Saccharomyces cerevisiae S288C: one gene and its partners. The gene in region 1 interacts genetically with each later gene. Each region holds a gene or a part of one and is shown in the gene's direction. Other genes may lie near its edges.

Evidence for each region. Genes that interact genetically often act in the same process or in processes that back each other up.
Region 2: mutations in YLR152C (region 1) and ART5 together harm fitness more than expected from each alone (negative genetic interaction), as found in Saccharomyces cerevisiae (2 studies listed by BioGRID).
Region 3: mutations in YLR152C (region 1) and PDR11 together harm fitness more than expected from each alone (negative genetic interaction), as found in Saccharomyces cerevisiae (2 studies listed by BioGRID).

The regions. Positions count from the first base shown.
Region 1 is NC_001144.5:441,173-447,990, reverse strand, and holds YLR152C (uncharacterized protein), read left to right. Parts: upstream 1-3,302; coding exon 3,303-5,033; downstream 5,034-6,818. Other genes in the region: RNH203 (Rnh203p), read left to right, coding at 1-9; acetate--CoA ligase ACS2, read left to right, coding at 416-2,467; PCD1 (8-oxo-dGTP diphosphatase), read left to right, coding at 5,254-6,276; STM1 (Stm1p), read right to left, coding at 6,703-6,818.
Region 2 is NC_001139.9:623,339-628,940, reverse strand, and holds ART5 (Art5p), read left to right. Parts: upstream 1-1,856; coding exon 1,857-3,617; downstream 3,618-5,602. Other genes in the region: Rho family guanine nucleotide exchange factor ROM1, read right to left, coding at 1-1,135; YGR067C (uncharacterized protein), read left to right, coding at 4,155-5,602. UniProt on the Saccharomyces cerevisiae protein: May regulate endocytosis by recruiting RSP5 ubiquitin ligase activity to specific plasma membrane proteins in response to extracellular stimuli.
Region 3 is NC_001141.2:326,222-334,100, reverse strand, and holds PDR11 (ATP-binding cassette multidrug transporter PDR11), read left to right. Parts: upstream 1-1,658; coding exon 1,659-5,894; downstream 5,895-7,879. Other genes in the region: TIR3 (Tir3p), read right to left, coding at 1-374; YIL012W (uncharacterized protein), read right to left, coding at 749-1,090; alpha-1,3-mannosyltransferase MNT3, read right to left, coding at 6,106-7,879. UniProt on the Saccharomyces cerevisiae protein: Transporter involved in the uptake of sterol.

The DNA.
Region 1 (6,818 bases):
AATCAGTAAATATAAACATTAAATACATTACACGTAGCCACCCGCTGTATAGCATAAAACTAACTTAAAATTATTCATATGCGTTTCCCGGGGCCGAAGCGTTATTGCCGATATTCGGTAGCCGATTCCGCTGGCTTTTTTTTTTTGAACGAGGCAAAAAAGTTTCGTGACTGAACTTCTTCGTCACTGGTTTTGTTGATAATTTTTATCGTTTTTTACTTCGAGATTGAAAACAGTGTTCTGAATTTTAGCAACGATATCGCACCGCACGTTTAGCCTGATCAAACCTTATATATACCTCTACCTTAAAATATATATATATATAGTATTCGAATTCCGAATTGTGTGTCTCCGCGGTTAGTGATTGTTATACACAAACAGAATACAGGAAAGTAAATCAATACAATAATAAAATATGACAATCAAGGAACATAAAGTAGTTTATGAAGCTCACAACGTAAAGGCTCTTAAGGCTCCTCAACATTTTTACAACAGCCAACCCGGCAAGGGTTACGTTACTGATATGCAACATTATCAAGAAATGTATCAACAATCTATCAATGAGCCAGAAAAATTCTTTGATAAGATGGCTAAGGAATACTTGCATTGGGATGCTCCATACACCAAAGTTCAATCTGGTTCATTGAACAATGGTGATGTTGCATGGTTTTTGAACGGTAAATTGAATGCATCATACAATTGTGTTGACAGACATGCCTTTGCTAATCCCGACAAGCCAGCTTTGATCTATGAAGCTGATGACGAATCCGACAACAAAATCATCACATTTGGTGAATTACTCAGAAAAGTTTCCCAAATCGCTGGTGTCTTAAAAAGCTGGGGCGTTAAGAAAGGTGACACAGTGGCTATCTATTTGCCAATGATTCCAGAAGCGGTCATTGCTATGTTGGCTGTGGCTCGTATTGGTGCTATTCACTCTGTTGTCTTTGCTGGGTTCTCCGCTGGTTCGTTGAAAGATCGTGTCGTTGACGCTAATTCTAAAGTGGTCATCACTTGTGATGAAGGTAAAAGAGGTGGTAAGACCATCAACACTAAAAAAATTGTTGACGAAGGTTTGAACGGAGTCGATTTGGTTTCCCGTATCTTGGTTTTCCAAAGAACTGGTACTGAAGGTATTCCAATGAAGGCCGGTAGAGATTACTGGTGGCATGAGGAGGCCGCTAAGCAGAGAACTTACCTACCTCCTGTTTCATGTGACGCTGAAGATCCTCTATTTTTATTATACACTTCCGGTTCCACTGGTTCTCCAAAGGGTGTCGTTCACACTACAGGTGGTTATTTATTAGGTGCCGCTTTAACAACTAGATACGTTTTTGATATTCACCCAGAAGATGTTCTCTTCACTGCCGGTGACGTCGGCTGGATCACGGGTCACACCTATGCTCTATATGGTCCATTAACCTTGGGTACCGCCTCAATAATTTTCGAATCCACTCCTGCCTACCCAGATTATGGTAGATATTGGAGAATTATCCAACGTCACAAGGCTACCCATTTCTATGTGGCTCCAACTGCTTTAAGATTAATCAAACGTGTAGGTGAAGCCGAAATTGCCAAATATGACACTTCCTCATTACGTGTCTTGGGTTCCGTCGGTGAACCAATCTCTCCAGACTTATGGGAATGGTATCATGAAAAAGTGGGTAACAAAAACTGTGTCATTTGTGACACTATGTGGCAAACAGAGTCTGGTTCTCATTTAATTGCTCCTTTGGCAGGTGCTGTCCCAACAAAACCTGGTTCTGCTACCGTGCCATTCTTTGGTATTAACGCTTGTATCATTGACCCTGTTACAGGTGTGGAATTAGAAGGTAATGATGTCGAAGGTGTCCTTGCCGTTAAATCACCATGGCCATCAATGGCTAGATCTGTTTGGAACCACCACGACCGTTACATGGATACTTACTTGAAACCTTATCCTGGTCACTATTTCACAGGTGATGGTGCTGGTAGAGATCATGATGGTTACTACTGGATCAGGGGTAGAGTTGACGACGTTGTAAATGTTTCCGGTCATAGATTATCCACATCAGAAATTGAAGCATCTATCTCAAATCACGAAAACGTCTCGGAAGCTGCTGTTGTCGGTATTCCAGATGAATTGACCGGTCAAACCGTCGTTGCATATGTTTCCCTAAAAGATGGTTATCTACAAAACAACGCTACTGAAGGTGATGCAGAACACATCACACCAGATAATTTACGTAGAGAATTGATCTTACAAGTTAGGGGTGAGATTGGTCCTTTCGCCTCACCAAAAACCATTATTCTAGTTAGAGATCTACCAAGAACAAGGTCAGGAAAGATTATGAGAAGAGTTCTAAGAAAGGTTGCTTCTAACGAAGCCGAACAGCTAGGTGACCTAACTACTTTGGCCAACCCAGAAGTTGTACCTGCCATCATTTCTGCTGTAGAGAACCAATTTTTCTCTCAAAAAAAGAAATAACTTAAATGAGAAAAATTTCGTAATGAGATAAAATTTCGCTCCTTTTCTGTTTTCTATTTTCTATTTTCCCAACTTTTGCTCTATTCAGTTATAAATTACTATTTATCCATCAGTTAAAAAACAAGATCTTTTACTGGTCAGCTAGGAAAGCGAAAATACAAAGACTTTATGCACTTAGTGATATATATGTATAGATATATCCATTTTTACGCACTTATCATATATCTTAGTTATCTAAATACAATCTAGTTATTCGTACACAATCGCCCCTGTTATCCCTATAGTGGGAATAAAGTAATGCACTGTGACGGGGTTCTTCGCCCGGGATAGGGTAAAAGGATATTGCCGTTTCAAGAAACTTCGGGGATAATCGAATAAGATACCGAGAAAGCTATTGTTCGTTGTGCACGTAGGATGTATATTGAACAAGCATGACCAGAATCTGATGCATTACGAGAAGGTTACGGGATGATATCAGACCTCCGAAGTCCATGTTGCAAAATGTGCCGACTTTCCGCGGCGCTATTTGGCACAAATTTCAGGAGAAACATCACTGTCGGTGTTATAGAATTCCATCTATATTGTTTTCCCCGTAGGCATACGTCGAGGAACTACTATATCTTTTTTCACCTTTTGTATATCTGTATTTTTGGGTCAATGTCTGGTACATAAGGTGAGTCATATTTACATCAAAGTGTGTAACGTATAAGAGGTAAAACAAGTTACAGTACTCATATAGTATTTCTTCTATCGGTAATTCTACATGTGTCTGATCAAGGTCTATCATTTTTATATGGTGGAAACGATTTTCTAGTACTACAATAAATGAACCAAGATGTCCCTTTCTCTGGGTGCCGCTATTTACATTGCATTAAAACCTATATTTAAAATTTACACCATTATGCTTGTTGGCTATTTGGTAGCTAAGTTCGATATTGTTTCCATGGAAAATGCGAAAGGTATATCAAATATGGTTGTTAACGCTATTTTGCCTTGTTTGACCTTCAACAAAATTGTGTCCAATATTTCATGGAGGGATATAAAGGAGATTGGAGTGATAATACTTTCAGCTTTTATCTTGTTTGTTTTAGGTGCCACGGGCGCCTTATTTACTACATTTGCTACGACTGTGCCCAAAAAATTCTTCTGGGGGCTCATATTTGCGGGTTTCTTTCCAAATATATCAGATTTACCTATTGCCTATATTCAGAGCATGGGTAACGGCTCCATTTTTACTGCTGAAGAAGCTGATAAAGGTGTTGCTTATTCCTGCATTTTTTTATTTATTCAAAGTTTCCTAATGATGAATTTTGGAATGTGGAGAGTGGTCGGACTTGATTTTAGAGATACAAAAGAACCAGATAGTGAGAATATTACTCCGTCAGTAAGTCCCGCTATCGACGATCGCAAACTTACTGAAATAACAAAGTTACCTAATATCACACGTCCTACAAATGCCTATCAATCGGAAGATGCGAGAAGTAATAGCGATTTGTCTTGTAACTCTATTACTACAAATGAAATGACACCGCAGGCATTCTACGAAGGTTTTACTGGCTACATCAAACCCTATAAAGAATCAAATGGTGCATCCCATAAATTTGAAAGTGACCTTCCGCATGCTGAAATATATAGGGTTTCCTCGACTTATTCAAGCCCAGGCGCATTGGAGTTCTCGCGAATAGATGGCAGTTCCCTCTCATATAGTCGTATATCAAAAAATAGCGATGGCAGAAGTTATAGAAGAAAAAGGAAAGCGGATATGAATGAGTTGATTTCCAAATACAGTGCCGCCGAAAAAATAAGGCAAGGTGAATTAGATTTATCAAGACCACTATCCTTGACTGAAGAAGTTGGAAGCAGGAACGCAAGTATTGGTAATGTGCACACTGGTTATACCGATGAAAGTTCCATCGAAGAAGAAAATTGCACTAATATGGCCACCGACGGGAGGGGTAGCCTCTCCTTCTTTATAGAGAGACACAATCTCAAATGGTTGCAGTACTTTATTATAAATTGCCTCAGGCCAGCATCTCTGGGGGCAATACTAGGAATAATATGTGCATTAATTCCCTGGGTTAAAGCATGCTTCGTAACGACATATGTTCACGTTCATAAGGCGCCTGATGGAGAACCTGTTCTGAATTTTTTAATGGATTTTACAGAGTATATTGGAAATGCATGTGTTCCATTGGGGCTTCTATTACTTGGCGGAACGTTGGCAAGATTAGAAATTAAGTCATTGCCACCTGGATTTATTAAATCCGCCTTATTGATGACATGCTTTCGATTAATTGTCATTCCTATTATTGGCGTCCTATGGGTAAATAAACTATATTCGATCGATTGGCTGGATACGGGCATAGGAAAATTTGACATGATATTAACGTGGTCCATGCCGAGTGCTACTGCTCAAGTATATTTCACAGCATTTTATACGCCAGCATGTGGTGATCACATTCAAATGAACTGTTTGTCCGTCTTATTTGTCATGCAGTATGCGATTCTTTTCATCACTGTGGCGTTTGTTGTTACATATACCTTAAAGGTCGATTTAAAAGTTTGATTATATCCCTAGGCGAATAGGTATATACAAGAGTAGCTTATTATCAACTTATATATTCTGTTTTTTCAAAAGTAGCGATGAATTCCAATCGCGTATTTATTCGTTGTATTTATTTTTTGGGGTAGGGTTGTGGGGGGGGATCCGCGTAAGTATATTTATAACAATTCAATAATAATATTGTAGATTTGAAGAGAATCACACATGTAACAGAAAAGCTGTAATGATATTAAGTCAGAGGAGGATGCTGAGTTCAAAGCAACTAATAGAGAACTTGATAAGATACAAATTTCATAAAACACCATATACTCGGAGCTCAATATGGCCTTTCAAAAGAAATTCGGCGGTAATAATACTATTATTCATTGGAATGAAAGGCGAACTACGAGTGCTTTTAACTAAACGTTCAAGAACATTGAGAAGCTTCTCAGGTGATGTTTCATTTCCTGGAGGTAAAGCTGATTATTTTCAAGAAACCTTTGAAAGCGTAGCCAGAAGAGAAGCTGAAGAGGAGATTGGGTTACCGCATGATCCTGAGGTCTTGCATAAGGAGTTCGGAATGAAATTAGACAATTTGGTCATGGATATGCCATGCTATTTATCAAGAACATTTTTAAGTGTTAAGCCAATGGTCTGTTTTCTTTACAAAGATAAATTAGAAAAACATGAGGATAAATACAAAGTTCCCTTAGATATCCGTAAGTTTTTTGGTAAGCTGAACCCTGGAGAAACATCTTCTTTGTTTTCTGTACCACTCAATGACTTAGTTATACATCTTCTTCCTGAAGCCGATGAGGATGTTAAGAGTTATCAAGCAGAATATTTTGAGCGGAAGGAGTATAAGCTTAATTGGGGTGGAATAAAATGGTTGATTATGCATTATCATTTTCACGTAGCAAATAATAACGAAATGCCATGGTTGCAAACCATAGAGGATTTATCAAGTTCAGACGAAGACGGTGTTGATGGAGGTATTTTCAGATTCAGGGATTTGTGGGGACTCACATGTAAAATATTATTCGACGTTTCATGTATAGCTAATGGACTAATGGACGAAAAGTTAAAAGGAGAACTAGGGCACGAAGATTTGATAGTTGGACTACATGACTATGGTAATCAGATGCAACCGAACGGAAGAAGTGAATGGGAGATAGGAATGATCAACGGCGACAGAAACTTAAAATATAGCGATGTGATACCTGAATACTACATGAAGCACCTGCTGGAGTGCCGCTCGCTTTGGTAAAAAAAACTGTGGTATAATGCGTTGCCTAACAATACTCTCAAGAGATAATCAAGATGAGAGAAAAAGAATCATACTGGATGTCCTTAATCGATAACAAAAAGTTTTTAATGAAGAATGACTAATGATGAAATTGTTATACAAATACAAACAAACTACACGCTTGCACATCTCAGAAGTGAAAAAAAAAAAAAGAAAATTGAAAAGTAAATTAAAAGTCATTTATTTTTTATTGCTTAAATAAAACAAAATGATATGTCATATTCTCGATTGGATGTCAACCCAATTTTATTCTTTGGTTTGCCAGCATGATCATCTTCACTTGCAAATTATATAGTAAATAACCAATTAAAATAATAATAGTAATAGAAACAGAAAGTAGAACACTGTTATTGGATTCTTTCAGTTGGAATTATTCATATATAAGGCTTAAGCCAAAGATGGCAAGTTAGAAACGTCAATGTTACGGTTCTTTTGAACGGTGTTAGCAGAGTTAGTAGCGTTAGCAGTGTTGTTACCCTTTCTAGCGCCTCTACCACCACGAC
Region 2 (5,602 bases), on another chromosome or scaffold:
GGAGCGAATTAACTGAAGAAGATGATGAAGAAAATGTGTTGGCAATTGAAGTAGAACTCTGCGACTGATGTGCCATAAAAATTGATTCTGAAGATAACTCGTAAATCTCCAGTACAGAATCTCTTACGCCATGGTCATAAAGTACGTCATGGAACAATTTTTGAGCTTCCAGCGATTTTCCGATCAACATGCCCAAATTACGATCTAAGCTTCCTATGATCAAGCATAAAGTATCAATTGCTTGTTTTCCTGTAAAGGAATCTCTGTAAAGTAACCCCATCTTTTTATGCGTGCTCAATTTGATGGTCTGTTTGAATTTAATTGCTATTAGTGATAAAAGTGCAGGATAAACCAAAGGCGTGCCTTTGATCATGGATATTTCCGTCAGAGAGACAGGACTTGATTTGGACCTTGAATGATGACGTTGGTGTTGATTAGTATGGCGTCGATATTGACTAGAATGATTGGAAGAGTTTGATGAGCGTCTATTTTGGGTTTTCAGTGACTCTAATGCAAATAAAGAAGAGGTGCTAGAAGAACTATGTTTTCCATTGAATGAACTGTGTAACTCCATCGTGTGACCTGCACTTTTGGGAGTTGGAGGCGTAGATAGCTGGTTTGGATCCCCCATATGACTGCCACTGTTTTTGGAAAATGATAATAGTGAAGGAGATGAATGTTTTCTTACGTGAGGAAGCAAAACATTCGATCTTTTTTGAGAAGGTGATGAAGTGGTAGTGCAACTGTTACCTTTATCTTGTCTGGTCGAATCATTTATTGAAATTTTTTTATTAGTAGGTGAAATCTGATCGCCTGTGAAGGATTGTGGACTTGAATTAAGGTTTGTTGAAATATGTAGGACAGGAGATGCCTTTAATTGGTGGGAAGAACAGTCCGGTGCTATCCTATACCGTGCACCGGTGTCGTGCCCTAGTGTATAATCCTTCAATGAAGCCTTATTTTCATCTTCAGTACTATCTTCATCCTCATCGTTAGTGATAGAAATTTCATTGATGTTTGTCTGAACTTTGGAGCCGGAGAACAACTGAGTAGGGGTTGAAGTATCTGATTTTCTTTTCTTACCGAATATCTCATAAAAATATTTATTTCTTAGATCCAGTTCATTACTATTCATAACCTAACCAAATTCTTACCAACGACTTGGTTTTATTTATATCATTACTAAATCAACAAAATTTTTGCTTTAAAATTCAAACGTGGCGTTCTTTTTTTTGATTTAGTTTTATTTATTTACTTTTTCATTCAAGAGCAAAGAAAAGTTTAAAATTAACGATTCTCCCTTGGGCCCCTTATGATATGTCTAAATATTGCCGTTTTAGGGCAAAAAAGATGAAGTGCGTTTACTTTCGTATAGAGTTTGTAGATATGACATTGGCAACAAAAAATCATGGGAAATTTAAGAAACATACAAACGTATGCGTGAAAAAAAAATCGACACTAGACGCACTAGGTGGTGCTTAATTGGAGTACTGGAGCGCTCCTTTAGATACAAGATGACAATTTATTGAAGATCGAGTAGGGGACGGATTACTCCCACATTAAACAGCAGGTCTTTCTTATTATAAGGAATACAAAAACAATTGAAGTAAAATGTTAGATCTAAAAATGTTTCTTTGTCTTGCTTTGTATGTATGTAATAATATACTCCTGAATACTTCACTTCGTCTTTTACAATTCTAAAAAGGCAGTTTCTTCGAAAACTGAAAAAAAAAAAAAAAAAAAAAAAAAAAAAAGAAATAGAAGGAAAATGAAACAGATGATTAGGATGAGTATAAGATGGCAAAAGTAAAAAATATCTTGTACAGCTCTCGGCGAGAATAGGGTGAAGCAAGACCATGTTTTCACTTAGTTCGCTATCTAGCAGCGGTGGGCATTCAGAGCAGAAGGAAAGAGAGAGAATAAGTTATTTTGATATTAGAATAAACTCCCCGTACAAGGACATAATTTTGATCCAAGGGTCACCGTTGGAACTGTCGTCTATACCTTTATCAGGAAACTTAGTGATTTCAGTGAAAAATGAGATCGTAGTGAAGAAAATTTCGCTGAGATTGGTAGGAAGATTCAAATTGGAGTTTTTGCAAGTTGGCCGATATAAGAAGAATAGCAGTAGTTTGGCAAGTCTAGTTAAGGAAAAGCGTAAGATTTTCGAATGCTATTGGGACAACTTATTGGTTTCTTCAAAAGGGGATGTTTTAGTCGGTGGGGAAAATGCGGAAAATCAACATAACAGTAGTAGCGGTCGCAGTACAAGCAACCAAGATATGGACACCAGCGGCAACGCAATATTTCTAAGCAAGAGATCACTTTCGAGCCCTGTTTTCAACAAAATAATTCGAAGAAAGACCCATTCTTCCCACAGAAAAATACTAGAGCTACCAGAAAATGGTGTTACAGGAACCCCTTTCGAGGGTTTAAGAGAAAACGCCCGTAGTAGAAGCAGTAGTAGTAACACCCTCAATAACAATAGCCATAGTTATAGTAACAGAGACGGGTCTGGAAGTTCGTACTTATTCCTAATGAAAAGAGGCAACTACGAACTACCCTTCAATACAATGCTCCCCCCAGAAGTGTGCGAAACAATCGAGGGACTACAAAGTGGTAGCATACTGTATTCCTTTGAAGCCATTATAGATGGACGTCAGTTATGGGATACTGATCTGAGCGTTCATACTTCTCCTCACGGTCCAATCGGTAGCACAAGTACGAGCGGCAATGGTATGAGAACGAAGAATAAAATTATCATCAAAAAGTTCAAGTATCTCAGAATCCTTCGTACATTATCGATGGACAATCTTGCCATGCAAGAAGAAATTAGCGTGGGTAATACTTGGCGTGACAAGTTGCAATACGAAACGTCCATCCCGAGTAGGGCTGTTCCTATTGGTAGCACAACCCCCGTGAAGATTAAGATTTTCCCCTTCGAAAAGAACATTCGTTTGGATAGGATAGAAATGGCGCTAATCCAATATTACGCAATGAAGGACAGCAGCGCACAAATTTATGATGATGAAATAGCCGTCATGAAAATTACTCATCTAGCGGACTTCGGCCCGCTGACGGACAAACTTGACGTCGATTGTCCCTTTACAATTCCAGATAACCTCAAACAAATAACTCAAGACTGCTGTCTGCAAGACAACCTAATCCGTGTCATGCACAAATTGCAGGTACGTATTCTTTTACAACGTCAAGTGGATGGCGAATACAAGAACCTGGAGATCAAGGCGCAATTACCTATGTTATTATTTATTTCGCCGCATCTGCCTATGAAAGGCCGTCTAGTGTTGTTTGATAAACACGATGGCAAGATCCACTTCCGCCCTGGCGAATTAGTACCCCTTTTTTTAACCACTTACCCCGCGCAGGGTCTGACTCCAGGCGTTGAACTGAACTCCACTACAACGGCGCACCTCGCGCTGCCACAACCGCCACCGAATTATCACGAGAGCACCAACGATCATCTCATGCCGGCGCTACAGCCGCTCGGCGCCGATTCGGTGGTACTGACAGTGCCGTCATACGAGCAGGCGCAGGCGCAGGCATCGGCATCGTCTTACGTGACAGGGTCCGTACCCGCTTACTGCGACGATGACTGATCCCCGCTCTCGGCGCCCCGAGTCGGCTACCCCGCGTTGGCAATCCCCTCCGATCGTCCGCGGCAAAATGGTCGTCAATCGGACAAAGGGGGATGATGGGATCTGGTAATAGAAGAAAATATGGACTAAAGGTAGCCGCTAAAGCGATCCAGGCATGTGTTGCCAATGATGTAAGTCAAGCGAAGGAAATGGTTCAGTAATATGATAGACAGACTGCACTTCAAGGGTGCGCCCCCTCCCCCGCGCATATGCTTACAACGCAAAATAATTGACGTTTAATGTGGATACTTATCGTAATCGCTGCATTATAGATTTCGAGTCATGTTCACTTAACCCCACATATTTATATAGAACGCATCTTCAAAGTACTTATAAAGTTTAGTTTTACATTTTTCTGCTTTCTATTTCTTCTTTTTCGGTTCTTCTTCATGCCAGTTGGCATGGCTTAAGAGCTTTACTTGTCGCTTTTATTTAAAACCTTCTCTCGGGAGAAGACAATTGTTGATATACAGTAATTGTATTTGCATTATCACTGCTATGGCTGCGGGTCAAAAAAAATATATATGTTCCTTTTGTTTGAAGCCTTTCTCGAGATCCGAGCACAAGATAAGGCATGAAAGGTCTCATGCGGGCGTGAAGCCTTTCCAGTGCCAAGTCTGTAAACACTCTTTTGTTAGACGCGATCTCTTACAGCGACACATCAGGACTGTCCACAGAACCTTCCTCTTATCCAGTTACGCGTCAATGACAGGCGATAAGGCTGATATCCCTGTATCACTTGGCGTTGGTGACGTTGATTCGACTTCACCCAGAGATATCAAAATGGAAACACTCGTTAATTCGATGATTAAGGTCAACAGCGGCCTTATCAATATTCACTATCATAGTAGTAATGTTGAAAAAATGGATAAGCAGCAACGTTGTGTGATTGGGAAGGAGTCCTCTAGTTTAAAGAAAGGGAAAAGCCGCTTTAAGCAGGTTAAAAGCCGGTTGGAGTCCTCCATCAGTGTAAAAATTTTGCAAGAATATTCATTAGATTTTATTAGCTCAAGAGATATTCTAACTTTCTTCAGAATGGGTGTAAGCCACTTGGTAGAAAATAAGATCTTCCAAAATTTCTTTCCAGACCTGTTCTCATCACTACAAAATGACGAGCTGGTGGAAAGTTTTTGGATTAACAAGCCTTTTGGTCTCATAATAGCTTGTCTGGGTATGTCCATTTCGTTAAATCAAGATTCTCAAAAACTATGGTTTATCTGTTGTACGAATTTGTATGCTAGCTCATCTAAACATGACAATGACTTTGACACTGAGGACATTTTGTCACAGACAGAGCAACATGATGTTTTTGCCTTGATTCTATTTTATTCTCTTCTAGTAATGTTGGAGAATAACATTCCTGTTTCTAATTCCATTAAAAAGTTCGATGTGTTTTCAATGCTTCAAGATATTCTGAAGCCATTCACCGTGGCATCCTCCAGTTACCATTATTTGAATAGTAAGGAAAATGCATGGTTCATATTCGATCTATGGGTCAATATCTTGCGCGATTCAAACAACTTCAACAACGATTCTTTACTAATATTTGGTTGGTTCGTCAATCAAGAGTTTATTTCGTCTAATCCACTTAAGGACTTCATATACAAGGGACCGTCAATGTCCACTACTGACTTAACTTTAAAGCATATCAATATTTTGGCAGATTCCGCGTACGTGTATTTTATAATAAAGAAGACTTATCCGCAAGAGCTGCCATCTGATTTTAGAGTGCATGATTTGCTGGTTTACTTGAATGAATGTTTCGTAATGCAGCAGCCGATCAAACCTGAAACTAGTGCAAACCCCTCTTTATTTGCGAACGTTATGAACGCCAGGATTACGGACTGCAAATCGAAAAGTAACTGGTTATTGTGGGAAACGATTTGGTTCGAATTCATCAACAACTTGACTTTGAGAAATGGGACCACAAGGAACATATGGTTCAT
Region 3 (7,879 bases), on another chromosome or scaffold:
ACGGTTTGACCTAAGGAGGTAATACTGATACCCGCGCTTTGTAAAGCAGCGATGATTTCAGGTTCCAGTCTAGAAGAGTACCAAGGCACTTGAACCATGGCAGTGGTGATTTGAGCAAAGTCCATTTCGGTGAAATAACTGGTGTAGGAATCATCAGTAGCAGTGGTCATATGTTGGTAAACATCCAAAACACCAGATGGTAGGGTAAAGTCTGGATTATTCATTGCCAAGGACATATATTGTTCCAAATTGGCCTTGACATCAGCCAAAATAGCGTCAAATTCGACGATTTCATATTGTCCAACTTCAGCAGAAACCAATTGAGTGGAGGCAGCGGCAACAGCTAATAAGGCAGCGATTTTAGTGAAAGACATTGTTGTGTGTGGGCGGTTGAACAATTGGATCTGGGGAACACTAAAAAGAAAAAATCAAACAACCAGCAAGAAAATCTGCAGTAGAGAAAGGAAGAGGAGACGAAACGCTTATACTCTCCACCAAAGAATATATGTATATATATATTCATATGTACGTATACTGCCTTCTCAGACGGAAATCTGCAATCCATTCTAGGGCCTTCTAAAAAAAAGCCTACAGAAATCATGGTAAACAGGAACAATGGGTCGCCTTAAGGCACGCATATCTAAGAAACGTGTGCAGAAGCGGTAGGGTACACGTTCCTATCGTTCCATTTGGAGTCTACACACGTTTCCAACCTCTGCCTTCAGTCACAGTTTCTGAGTAACCTCGCTTACAAAAGAAATTTTTTTTCCCGCAAGGCGAAGTACGCCTCGTATAAGGCCAATGTCTCGTATGGGTGATGTAGGGCAGAAGCCAATGTCTCGTTCAAATGAAATAATGAGCTAATTAGGCTCCAAGTTTTACCACCTATCTGACGATTCTCTCTCTGCGTATAAGAAAAATGTTGAAAAAGCAACATTTTGCGCCAGGAAAAAAGCCCAATCATGGAAGTGGTGCAATACACATTCCAACTTACACACCGAGATTCTCCTGTCGTTATATTTCCACTTTGACGCCCCTTTATGCATCTTACTAATATTAGCTGTTCGAAGTACAGCTTACCTAGGCACATGTACTTTATCTCTCGAATTTTCCTGCTCAGTTTCTCCTACTCAAGTCTCTCCTAGTCTCTAAGGGAAGGCACCGTCTAGGACAGTGCCGGGCATCCTTTATGCAAGGGATATCCCCCCGCAGCCTTCTCCGTCCGTTTTCGTTTAGGCACTTCGCACAGAATTCACCGCAGAGAAGCGCCACATAGACGGCCACTTTTGTTTCCTACAACTTCCACTCTATCGTTTGGGGCCCGTGCCTTCGACTTTTACTCCATTGTGCTGCGGTTTTTGTTTGGCCTCGAACTTTTCCTGTCTGCGGATCTCCTGGTTTGGAAACAAGCTTTCCTCCATAGGCAAAATGGATACTACGGTACGAAGTATTTTCCGCAGATCCTGCTCTCACCTATATAAAACAACATACAACATCGTAAAGCTCTCTGCTCTTTTAGCTATTAATAGTATTATCACACACTTAAACCCTTTTCTCATTAGTTCGTAAACGGGTTGGTAAAAAGAACTTGCATACTGTAGCAAAAAAATTCACAACTAAACACGATAGAGTAAAATTAGAGAAGCAACGCCTCGCGGATGTCTCTTTCCAAATATTTTAATCCAATTCCTGACGCTTCAGTCACCTTTGATGGGGCTACCGTTCAATTGGAAGAATCCCTCGGTGCTGTTCAGAACGATGAAGAGTCCGCATCGGAATTCAAAAACGTAGGCCATTTAGAAATTAGTGATATCACTTTTCGTGCTAATGAAGGTGAAGTCGTCTTAGTACTGGGAAACCCAACATCAGCGCTCTTCAAAGGTCTATTCCATGGTCACAAGCATCTGAAATACTCGCCTGAAGGGTCTATTAGATTCAAAGACAATGAGTACAAACAGTTTGCTTCCAAATGCCCCCATCAGATCATTTATAATAACGAACAAGATATTCACTTCCCGTATCTGACGGTGGAGCAAACCATTGATTTTGCGTTGAGTTGTAAGTTTCACATTCCCAAGCAAGAGCGTATTGAAATGAGAGACGAGTTATTAAAAGAGTTCGGACTGTCGCACGTAAAGAAGACGTATGTGGGTAATGACTACGTTCGTGGTGTTTCTGGAGGTGAAAGGAAACGTATCTCCATTATAGAAACGTTTATTGCCAATGGGTCTGTTTACTTATGGGACAACTCGACGAAGGGTTTGGACTCTGCCACCGCCCTAGAATTTCTTTCCATTACCCAAAAGATGGCAAAAGCTACAAGATCGGTGAATTTTGTTAAAATTTCTCAAGCAAGCGACAAAATTGTCAGCAAGTTTGACAAGATTCTTATGTTAGGTGATTCCTTCCAGGTGTTTTACGGAACCATGGAGGAGTGTTTAACCCATTTTCATGACACCTTACAGATAAAAAAAAACCCTAACGATTGTATTATTGAATATTTAACATCAATCTTAAATTTTAAGTTCAAGGAAACGTCTAATTCCATTGTTGGTCTTGACACTCCATCTGTTGTTTCTGAAGAAAATCAAGCTTTAAACATCAATAATGAAACAGATTTGCATACATTATGGATTCAGTCTCCATACTATAAACACTGGAAGGCCATCACTTCAAAAACAGTGCAAGAATGCACCAGAAAAGATGTTAATCCGGATGATATCTCCCCCATTTTTAGTATTCCGCTAAAGACGCAACTGAAAACGTGCACTGTAAGAGCTTTCGAAAGAATCATTGGTGACAGAAACTACTTGATTTCTCAATTTGTTTCTGTTGTGGTGCAGTCTTTGGTTATTGGGTCCCTTTTTTATAACATTCCCCTGACAACAATTGGTTCGTTTTCTAGAGGATCTTTAACTTTCTTTTCCATCCTATTCTTTACATTTCTTTCTCTCGCCGACATGCCTGCTTCCTTTCAAAGGCAACCCGTCGTTCGTAAACATGTCCAGCTCCATTTTTATTATAATTGGGTGGAAACTTTAGCAACAAATTTTTTCGATTGCTGCTCTAAATTTATACTGGTGGTTATTTTTACAATCATACTTTACTTTTTGGCCCATTTACAGTACAATGCAGCTAGGTTTTTCATCTTTTTGCTTTTCCTTTCCGTCTATAATTTTTGCATGGTGTCACTATTTGCATTAACTGCTTTGATCGCTCCAACTCTATCAATGGCAAACCTATTGGCCGGTATCTTACTGTTAGCCATTGCCATGTACGCGTCCTATGTTATTTATATGAAAGATATGCATCCATGGTTCATATGGATTGCATATTTGAATCCTGCTATGTTTGCCATGGAAGCCATTTTGAGTAACGAATTGTTTAACCTGAAACTAGACTGTCATGAAAGTATTATTCCCAGAGGTGAATATTATGACAATATTTCATTCAGTCATAAAGCTTGTGCCTGGCAAGGCGCTACCCTAGGTAACGATTACGTCAGAGGCCGTGATTATTTAAAAAGTGGATTGAAATACACTTACCATCACGTGTGGAGAAATTTCGGTATTATCATTGGGTTTCTGTGTTTCTTCCTATTTTGCTCTTTACTAGCAGCGGAATATATCACGCCTCTGTTTACTAGAGAAAATTTATTGCGCTGGAATAACTATCTCAAAAGATACTGTCCCTTTCTGAATAGCCAAAAAAAGAATAATAAAAGCGCTATTACCAACAACGATGGCGTATGTACTCCCAAGACCCCGATAGCCAATTTTTCCACTTCATCCTCTTCTGTTCCATCAGTCTCGCATCAATACGATACTGATTACAATATTAAACATCCAGATGAAACTGTTAACAATCATACTAAGGAATCCGTAGCTATGGAAACGCAAAAGCACGTCATCTCCTGGAAAAATATCAATTATACCATTGGAGACAAAAAATTGATCAACGACGCTTCTGGATATATAAGTTCCGGATTAACTGCCCTAATGGGTGAATCTGGTGCTGGTAAGACAACTTTGTTGAATGTCTTGTCTCAAAGGACCGAAAGCGGGGTTGTTACCGGTGAATTATTAATCGATGGACAGCCCTTAACGAATATTGATGCATTCAGAAGAAGTATAGGGTTCGTTCAACAGCAAGATGTTCATTTAGAGCTCTTAACTGTGAGAGAGTCTTTGGAAATTTCCTGCGTCCTAAGAGGTGATGGGGATAGAGACTATTTAGGAGTTGTTAGCAACCTATTAAGATTGCCTTCGGAAAAACTGGTTGCTGATTTATCTCCAACTCAAAGAAAATTATTATCTATTGGTGTTGAATTGGTCACTAAGCCTTCTCTGTTGTTATTCCTAGATGAACCTACTTCAGGGCTAGACGCCGAAGCAGCTTTAACCATCGTGCAATTTCTGAAAAAGCTTTCGATGCAAGGTCAGGCTATCTTATGTACTATTCATCAGCCTAGCAAAAGTGTCATCAGCTATTTTGATAACATCTATTTACTAAAAAGAGGTGGTGAGTGTGTCTATTTTGGTTCATTACCTAATGCCTGTGACTATTTTGTAGCTCACGATAGACGCCTAACATTTGACAGAGAAATGGATAATCCGGCTGATTTCGTTATTGACGTTGTTGGTAGCGGAAGTACAAATATTCCAATGGATGATGCAGAGAAGCCAACCTCAAGCAAAATTGATGAGCCAGTATCTTACCATAAGCAATCTGATTCAATTAACTGGGCAGAACTCTGGCAATCCTCTCCAGAAAAAGTGCGGGTTGCTGATGATTTGCTTTTATTAGAAGAAGAAGCCCGGAAATCTGGTGTTGATTTCACTACGTCCGTATGGAGTCCGCCTTCGTATATGGAACAAATAAAGTTAATCACAAAGAGACAGTACATTTGTACCAAGAGAGACATGACCTATGTTTTCGCTAAATATGCTTTGAATGCTGGCGCTGGACTATTCATTGGATTTTCATTTTGGAGGACAAAGCATAATATCAACGGTCTGCAAGATGCTATTTTCTTGTGCTTCATGATGCTTTGTGTTTCCTCCCCTTTGATCAATCAGGTTCAAGATAAGGCTTTGCAATCTAAAGAAGTATATATCGCCAGGGAAGCGAGATCTAATACTTATCATTGGACCGTTCTTTTGATTGCTCAAACTATTGTTGAATTACCATTAGCCATTTCCAGTTCTACCTTATTTTTCCTGTGTTGCTACTTCTGTTGCGGTTTCGAAACCTCTGCCCGTGTAGCTGGTGTCTTTTACTTGAATTATATTTTATTTTCCATGTATTATTTGTCATTTGGGTTGTGGCTTCTATATTCTGCCCCCGATTTACAAACTGCCGCTGTCTTTGTTGCCTTCCTCTATAGTTTCACAGCTTCATTCTGTGGCGTTATGCAACCATACTCGTTATTCCCAAGATTTTGGACATTCATGTACAGGGTTTCACCATACACGTATTTCATTGAAACTTTCGTAAGCTTACTTCTCCATGACAGAGAAGTAAACTGCTCGACAAGTGAAATGGTACCAAGCCAACCTGTAATGGGTCAAACCTGCGGTCAGTTTATGAAACCCTTTATTGATGAATTTGGTGGGAAACTGCACATCAATAACACATACACCGTCTGCGCCTACTGCATGTACACTGTTGGGGATGACTTCCTTGCTCAAGAAAATATGAGTTATCATCACAGATGGAGAAATTTTGGTTTTGAATGGGTTTTCGTTTGCTTTAACATTGCCGCCATGTTTGTGGGCTTCTACCTAACCTACATCAAAAAAATTTGGCCTTCTGTGATTGATGGTATAAAGAAGTGTATCCCATCAATGAGGCGGTCCAAAACATCTCATAATCCAAACGAACAAAGCGTATAATCAGTGAATAGCGTTCCGTTAGAAAACATTCAAAATTACCTAATACTATTCAACAGTTCTTGTTCCTCATCCGGCTGCCTTCTGCTTTAAACTAATTGTTAATTTATTCCCAAATCATATTCTAAATTAATCTATAATCATTTTTCGGATTATATATGCTCCATACTTAATAAATATTAATACTCTCATTTCCTTTTCACTTTTTTTTTTCTCAATTAGCATTCCAGGTTCGAGAAATATCATTGATATATCGTAATTCCTTTTCAGTAAACGTGATTAGACGACCTTCGTCAAGTTCAGAGTTTGTGTGTCCGTCACCCGTAGCATATGCACAATACATATAATTAGAACATTCCTTGATTTGCATCCATGGATGAACAGAAACGTCAGGAACGATTAGTCCCTCTACGTTCAACGAAGCATCATATATCCTTTTTAATTTTGAAATGTCCCCATATCTACTCTTAAAATACTCTGGCTCTCTTCCAAAGTCATCTTCAGCACTGTTCGAAATTTTACAAGTCTTCAGTCCACCGTTTACCCATAGTAATCGATTTTTGGAGTCACTGTGTGCAATCTGCGTAGAACAAATGTAGTACATCCCGCTTTTATGTCCGTCATCATTTTCAGGCTCTTCATTAACAGGTCCAATAATACTGCCATCAACGGGATTGATAGAATAATCCTGGCCAGCATATAATTGCCCCAACCAGAATATTTCCTTGTCACCATACACACACCTCTGCAATTTTCCATCCAAATTTAACATAAAAGACATCAACAATCCATTTAATTTCTCAAGTTTATTGACTACAACCAAACCACTATCAACATGATGGAGTCGTAATTTTTTGAAAAAATTGTAATACACAGATGCTTCTTCTGAGGTTTCGGAAGAAAACGGTAATGACGAATCAAAAACTAACCTACTTCCAATAAATCTGCGTTCTTGTGCAGAGGGTTCCACTTCATTTAACATTTCGATGCAGTATTGGAAAGTTTGCTCGTTTTCCATAACCCTATCCTTGAACAAAAGTATCCCGCTCTCCCTGTAAGAAGGAGAGTCGAAAAAGTAATCAGACCCTACAAACGGTACTACGTCTGCATCCAACAAAATGTATTCTTCAAATGTGTTGAACAAAGTGGCGACCCATTTATTCTGAAAAAAAGAAATGTATGTATTAGCAAAATTAGTGTCAAGCACTGTCGAGCAGTCTACTAAGTAGACCCTTTGTTCCGTTTCTTTAGCGGTCTCAGAAATTTTAGCAATAGACTCTGCTGATAGTTCATTTCCCGTGGATACTATTTGGAATGGTAATTCGTTTTTTGAAAATTCCATCACTTTCAACTGTTTCAAAAATAAAGGAACATCCTTTTCAGCAATAGTTAAAACAAAACCTCTTCCTTTGCTCAACCTATTCCAGTTGGACCAAAAGTTACCATTAAAGTTTGATGATTCCATATCAACCTCGGGTGCCGGAACTGCCTCTCCAGTTGTCATGTCTGTGATAATAGGCCACATTACAGTTTTGGATTCCTCGTTAATTTTCTTCAGAAATGGAAACATTCTGTTTTGCAAATCATGAGGATTTACGGTTGAATTTGCAAATATTGCAGTAGGATCTAATTGACCAGATAAAAAGCAATAATCATAAGATCTTAATCTTTCCCCTAACAATGAGGCCAACGTGTTATCTACACCATCAACATTATAAAATTTTGCAGTTTGCGCATTGTCCCAGTCGGGATCAATCTTGTATAGTACTTCAAAAATGTAACGGCACTTGTCACTCTTCGCTATTTCATTATTTCCTAATTGCCTCAACAATACACGTTCTTTGTGAGAACTTCTACTCAAAAAGGGCAAAAAGTAGGCAGATAATCTGTTCATTAAGTTTTCGGATCTCACTTGGTGTTGTCGTTTTTCAATCCAATTGAATGCAGATGATTCAACAGCTGTCCTCTCGCTTGCATGGTTGTTTAAT